2 linked regions of the Saccharomyces cerevisiae S288C genome follow. Changing the gene in region 1 together with any one later gene gives a genetic interaction. Each region holds a gene or a part of one and is shown on either strand. Other genes may lie near its edges.

Region 1 (3,759 bases):
ATTTCCATCACCATTATTGCTATTGTCATTATCATTATTATGATTACTTTGGTTGATTACAGCTTCACCCAAATCACTCAAGTCAACAGAAATTAAGTTATAAAACTTGGATGTCTCCGACAGGGGCCATACAGCAGTTAGTATAGTTACGGCGCCTTTAACATGGAAAATCCATGCCGTTGGTGAGCTGCTTGAAGCATTTGCCAATGAATCTAGGATTAATATTAGAGCACTAGCCACCAAAGCATCTGTGTTATCATCTGAAATTTCGAGCACAGCCTCTCTTAACAGTCTCAACGCTTCTAAACGATGACTAGACACGTAGTTATCCAAGCCGGCTTCAGTTCTGGACAAATGAGTGGCGCTAAAAGCCAAAATTGTATGCATCAAGAAGGGAAAATGAAAAGCCAAATCCGGAATATAAGTGCTCCATACTTCAGGACCAGAAATGCCTGCTTCGGTTATGGTATGCCATACGTCAGTACAATAGTGATGAAAAAGTTTTAGATCTATCAAATTCAAATTTGATTTTCTAGACAGCCCGACTAATTCAGGGACTAGTCGTGAGGCTGATGAAGCGTTTGAATGGGGAGAAGATTGTTGTTGAGTGTGAGAATTTGATGAACGTGGAGACAATGCCTCCGAGTTGGATAACAGGTCACCCATTGGGGACGTCTTCAAAGTAGGAGAATTTCCCAAAGCGGTCCTGTTGTCCGGTATAGATAACAATGACTTTGTAGAGGTTACATTGGATACTCCCGTTGAAGGGGACGCAATGTTTTGATCTATGGAAGGTTTGGACAACGTGTGTGGGGGACTGATTGTGAGACCGGTATTGTCGATTATCAAGTTTTTGTTATGAGATAGTATATCAGAAGCAGTAACTTTATTTTCGTTTCCGTTAAGGGGGTTATTGCCCGAATTAACAGCATCCGTCTTAGTATTATCCAATGGGTTCTTCGTAAATTGCTTGTTTTTGTCCTCCTGTTCCTGTTGCATATTTGCGAGTGCCTCCTCTGCTGTGCTAACTTTGATTGCTCTGTTATTAGATGTAGCAAACTTTCCGAGGCCAAATAACTCTTGAAACTCAGAGGCCATTCCATTTGCAGCACCGTATGGAAATAATGTATTGAAGCTCTTCATATTGAAGTTCAAGCCCATCTTGTTCAATTGCGCTAGCTGGTCGAAGGGAATATTGCTGAAGGGGGACTGTGTTCCTTGTTGTTGTGGAATTTGCTGATTTTGTTGTTGAAGTTGTGGCTGCTGCAATCCATTCGTCACCGAATTTAGCCTACCAGGCGAGAGTAAGCCGTTAAGGCTACTTGATAAATTCATGGCCGTTGATTGAAAACTAGGTGTTATCGGTATACTCAATGGCGAATTCCCTGGTAGGGCCATGTTTGGGTGGTTGTTGTTTATCATTGAACTGGGAGCTGTTTGTGTTATATTATTATGCGCTTCAGCTCCATTTGCACTGCTGTTGGTACTGTTACTGGTGTTATTCACTAAACTCGCTAATAGGTGCGGTAACAAAAGATTCTCCATATTATTGGATACGGATGGAGGAACGCTATTAGGGGAATTGCTTTGTTCATCAGTACCAACATGTGGCAACAGTTGCTGCTGTAACTGAACTTGCTGTTGTTGACGAAATTGCTGTTCTTGTTGATGATGAAGTTGCTGTTGTTGTTGTTGTAACATGATGGCATTGTCACTCAGATTTTTCTTGCCTACCCTATCGTGGACCGCTGATGCAAATTTTGACGACGAAGAATCTTTTCTTCTTCTTGGCTGAATAGGGCTGTAAACACAGTCCAATTTCATGTTTGTACATTTCTTGCAAAATGGTTTGCCTTCATCACATTTTACTCTTCTTCTTTTACAATTGTCGCAACCGGTCTTGGACTTGTTATGAAACTTCCGTTTCCCTGTCGAAGTCTTGCTCACTTTCTTGCCCCCAACCTCAATCAGTTCAGCATCCTTCTCTCTTTCTTGTCCAGCATTCCCATCATCGGATGTCATGTTATGTTAGATGGAGATCTATGGATAAACGAAATATAAACCTTAAATGAAAAAAACCGTCGACTTAACTCCTCTATATTATGTAAAGGCGAAATGTTATTTGTGCCTTTGAAAAGTGGAGGTCTTGGTTGCTTCTCCTTCGACGATAATCGATTTCGGTGACTAGTTAGTAGATGATGTAATCGTAGACGCAGGGAACCCTTGCTTTTCCCCAATCGTAACAAAAAAAAACAAGGGGAAATAAACTATTAGATAGTACGAGTTCGTTAAGTTAAAAAAAAGGCTATAAAAGTCGAAGAACGAATGATTACGACCAACATCTATTGTTCAAACTTGCCTTCGTTGAGTTTATCGAACGCGCTCGTTTAAATTTTTCCGACAAGAACGAGGAACGAGTCACCAATTACGTTTTCGGCTCTGTCGGTTGCAGGATCTGTAAAAGCGATATAGATACACACGTCAGCATGAAGCTCTTATGATTTGGCGAGTAGTGTTAGTACGTTAAATGCTACGACTCGGCATATACTGTGCTCGTTTTTATCAGTTTCATCCGAGGATTGTAGCCTTTTTTTTTCATTTGTTGATGTTTCTCTAGTATTTTCCGTCTTGTAGTGGTTTCGGGTATGTTGAACATAAACATTAAAAAAGACGATTAAATAAACTTGAGTTTGTACAAAGGAAAGCTGTAGTCATAGAGTATTTAGAAAAAAAAGCAGCCACAGTTTACATGAAGATGTGACCAATGAGGAGGCATCGGTTTGCCTTTGAATCTCAATCGCTTGAAAATTGAGTTCTTTTCGAATGATGACACCTCCGAGAAATGGCATTTCTATGCTAGCGCCACTCTACCCTTTCAAACGTCCGTACTCATATGAAGTTTCATCCTTCACGCAGCGATCTAAAAAGTTGTAAAAAAAAATACATTTAGGCCTAGCTATATATGCTACTATGTATCATTCAGTGAAATGGCTGAGGTTATATAAAATACTGGGAGGTCGTTTTTACGCTAAAGCAGACCTTGCGGATCTTTTCCTGTAGAATATATTTGTAGCATAAGTCCAATTTTACGGGCGCATTTTCAAAATCAAGGTGATATTGACATATTTTGAAGAGCACCCAATGGGCTAGCTGCAAGAACAAAGAGACCAGAAAGCCTAGAATTAAATGCCAGAAAAATGGAAATTTATTCTAGACAAAAATTGTTCGGCACCTCTACAGACGTTTAACGAACCTGGTCCGGCCTTTGAGGCGATCAAAAAAAGGCCCATTTTTGTGTTCCGCGTAATTGGTTTGCGCCTTTCCATGGAGCTTGGTGGGCGACATTCTCAAACTGGTTTCCTGATACATCATGCACGCCCGTAAAGGGTTTAAGTATTGATTGCTAGCCTGAATGTTTCATATGCATACCGTGTCTATGCAACGAATATATTTCAGAAAAAAGCACGAAAGCCAAATTTTTGATGTTAAGAGGTGTTTTTGCCCGTAAACGGAGAAGACGTGGTAGGACTCGCAAATGTCGCGTTTAGCGTTGAAGAACATGGAAGTATTGAACGTTTGGGGCTTGACGGCTCGACTTTTTTGCACTACTCCGCCTTGAACAGACGGATGATCCTGGCGCAAGAAACAAAGAGAATCAACTCTGAGCAAAGCGAAAAAATGAAATACAACGATAATAAAAGGATAGGAAGGTGTATATATAAGTTAATTTTAGATATAGATTAAGAAAAGATGGGCATA
Region 2 (3,759 bases), on another chromosome or scaffold:
ACAATATCCGGGTCACGTGAAAGTTAGATAAGCATGCAAAGATAGCCAGAGAGATTTCGAAGTTGAATAAAACAAGGGAATGGGTCACTTGTTATATTCTTTACAGATTGAGAGTGCAGTAATATTCTGCGGACGCCAGTAAGTACTGTTTGAGGTTGTATTTTTATAGTAGAGGACACTTGAGACTGTGTAAAATGCGCTCACCAAAAAAAAGGGTCTGTTTGCGATCAACAAACAAATAATAAGATAAGTTAGGGAAAAGAAAGGTGAACACTGTTGCGGAATGCGTGGACTGCTTGTGTAAAAATGCTAGTAATGAGGGAAGTGTGGACTTGATATGGCCTGTTGTGGAAGCCTGAGAGTTCTTTCACGTGCTGTGTTCGGCCCGCCTATATAGGGACAAATTGTTAAAAAGATAAATAAATATAATCTGCCTCGGAAGGGGTTGGGAACGCCCGGCAGTAGCGATGAGGGTAACGGGACGATATTTAGAAGTGAATGCTGAAATAAATGGTGTGAAGGCCTCTTGTATGTCGTCTCATATAGGGCTAAAACGAAGCCATCGTGCACAATGGTAAGTTCATTCAGTGTTCCCATGCCAGTAAAACGGATATTTGACACATTTCCGTTACAAACATATGCTGCGCAGACTGACAAGGACGAGGCCGTTGCATTAGAAATACAGCGGAGGTCCTACACATTCACAGAACGCGGTGGTGGAAGCTCTGAGTTGACTGTGGAGGGGACGTACAAGCTAGGTGTTTACAACGTTTTTTTGGAGGCAAATACAGGGGCGGCATTGGCCACAGATCCATGGTGTCTGTTTGTTCAGCTTGCGCTGTGTCAAAAGAATGGTCTAGTCTTACCCACGCACTCGCAGGAACAAACCCCATCGCATACCTGTAACCATGAAATGCTCGTTCTGTCCCGTCTTTCTAACCCCGATGAGGCCCTACCTATTCTAGTTGAGGGTTACAAGAAGAGAATTATAAGATCCACCGTGGCAATCAGCGAAATTATGAGGTCTCGGATACTTGATGATGCTGAGCAGTTGATGTACTATACGTTGCTGGATACCGTGCTGTACGATTGTTGGATCACGCAAATAATTTTCTGTGCCTCAGATGCGCAATTCATGGAATTGTACTCTTGCCAGAAGTTAAGTGGTTCGATAGTCACTCCATTGGACGTAGAAAACTCTTTATTACAGAAGTTGTCCGCAAAGAGTTTGAAGATATCCCTAACAAAGCGGAACAAGTTCCAGTTCCGCCATCGAGAAATCGTCAAGAGTATGCAAGGAGTTTATCACAACCATCACAACTCCGTTAATCAAGAGCAGGTCTTGAACGTTTTGTTCGAGAATAGCAAGCAAGTTCTTTTAGGTTTAAAAGATATGTTGAAAAGCGACGGGCAACCCACTTACTTACATCTGAAAATTGCAAGTTACATTCTTTGTATAACGAACGTTAAGGAACCCATAAAGCTAAAGACATTTGTTGAAAACGAATGTAAAGAATTGGTCCAGTTTGCACAAGACACCCTGAAGAACTTCGTTCAGTAATCACTTTCAAGCTGTAGTATGTAAACGATATAGATGAAGTTTTCGTGTGTATAAATATATGAACTCTAGAGTGTTGCATAATTTGAAACACAGCATTTCTTTTCGGAGAGCTCGTTTCAAAATGAAACAAACGCCGTTGTCCGTTTTCGTCTCAATAGAAAAAGTGAAACAGATAAAAATTGTTTTAAAAGAAACGAATTTGCAACATCTTAAGATATATCAAAACTAATACAAAACAGCCTAAAAAAGATTGAACAACTCTTCGCGGTCAGGTCTCGACACCATAAATCGAAGTACTCGTACGCTAGTTTTCTCGCACATAGTACCACTACGTTCCTTTTACAATTAGATTACTTCTTTTTAGTTGACTTTTTTGAGACGTTCGTGCCATTCATAAAATAGGAAAAGATAACAGGTAAGCACTGAAGACTTGTTTTATAAGTGTCCCAAGCGAGACCTAGAGTGGATATTGATATTTCTCAAACAAGACTCGTCGAAGAAAACACACTTTTATAGCGGAACCGCTTTCTTTATTTGAATTGTCTTGTTCACCAAGGATGAAAGTCCAAATAACCAATAGTAGAACAGAGGAAATCTTAAAAGTTCAAGCTAATAATGAAAACGATGAAGTCAGTAAAGCTACTCCGGGCGAAGTTGAAGAATCGCTAAGGTTAATCGGCGATCTAAAATTCTTTTTAGCCACAGCGCCGGTAAATTGGCAAGAAAACCAAATTATAAGGCGATACTATCTGAATAGTGGACAAGGCTTTGTCTCTTGTGTATTTTGGAACAATCTATACTATATTACAGGTACTGATATTGTCAAATGTTGTCTTTACAGAATGCAAAAGTTTGGGAGAGAAGTAGTTCAAAAGAAAAAATTTGAAGAGGGTATTTTTTCAGATTTAAGAAATCTCAAATGTGGTATAGATGCAACTTTAGAACAACCAAAGTCCGAATTTTTGTCGTTTCTATTCAGAAATATGTGTCTGAAAACCCAAAAAAAGCAGAAAGTATTTTTTTGGTTCAGTGTAGCACATGATAAGTTGTTTGCGGATGCGTTGGAAAGAGATTTAAAAAGAGAAAGTTTGAATCAGCCTTCAACGACTAAGCCCGTTAATGAGCCCGCCTTATCTTTTTCATATGATTCCTCATCTGATAAGCCTCTCTACGATCAGTTACTTCAACATTTAGATTCTAGAAGACCATCTAGTACAACAAAATCAGATAATTCGCCTCCAAAATTAGAAAGCGAGAATTTTAAGGATAATGAGTTGGTAACAGTAACTAATCAGCCGCTTTTAGGCGTTGGCCTCATGGATGACGATGCGCCAGAATCCCCCTCTCAAATTAATGATTTTATTCCTCAGAAATTGATTATAGAACCCAATACTCTCGAATTGAATGGTCTCACAGAAGAAACGCCTCATGACTTACCCAAGAATACCGCTAAGGGCAGAGACGAAGAAGATTTTCCTCTCGACTATTTTCCTGTATCTGTTGAATACCCTACGGAGGAAAATGCGTTTGATCCGTTCCCTCCACAGGCTTTTACGCCAGCTGCCCCTTCCATGCCTATTTCCTATGATAACGTGAATGAAAGGGATTCTATGCCCGTTAATTCTCTTCTTAATAGATACCCCTATCAGTTATCAGTGGCACCCACTTTCCCAGTGCCACCATCATCATCGAGGCAACATTTTATGACAAATCGGGATTTTTATTCATCTAACAATAACAAGGAAAAATTGGTATCTCCTAGCGACCCTACCAGCTACATGAAGTATGACGAACCAGTTATGGATTTTGATGAATCTCGGCCAAATGAAAACTGTACAAATGCAAAATCTCACAACTCTGGCCAGCAAACTAAACAACACCAATTATATTCTAACAACTTCCAGCAATCTTACCCAAACGGAATGGTTCCAGGATACTACCCAAAAATGCCGTATAATCCCATGGGGGGGGATCCTCTACTCGATCAAGCCTTTTATGGCGCGGACGATTTTTTCTTTCCACCAGAAGGATGTGATAACAATATGCTGTATCCACAAACTGCAACTTCATGGAATGTTTTGCCCCCTCAAGCTATGCAACCAGCTCCAACCTATGTTGGGAGACCATACACACCGAATTATAGATCGACACCAGGTTCCGCGATGTTCCCATACATGCAAAGTTCAAATTCCATGCAG

What was found.
Region 2: of ECM22 (region 1) and STE12, changing one suppresses a phenotype caused by changing the other (phenotypic suppression), as found in Saccharomyces cerevisiae (one study listed by BioGRID).

The regions. Positions count from the first base shown.
Region 1 is NC_001144.5:600,442-604,200, forward strand, and holds the start of ECM22 (Ecm22p), read right to left. Parts: upstream 2,023-3,759; coding exon 1-2,022.
Region 2 is NC_001140.6:272,056-275,814, forward strand, and holds the start of STE12 (homeodomain family transcription factor STE12), read left to right. Parts: upstream 1-2,118; coding exon 2,119-3,759. Other genes in the region: SAM complex subunit SAM35, read left to right, coding at 572-1,561. UniProt on the Saccharomyces cerevisiae protein: Binds to the DNA sequence mediating pheromone induction (called the pheromone response element = PRE) which is found in the upstream control region of several a-, alpha- and haploid-specific genes.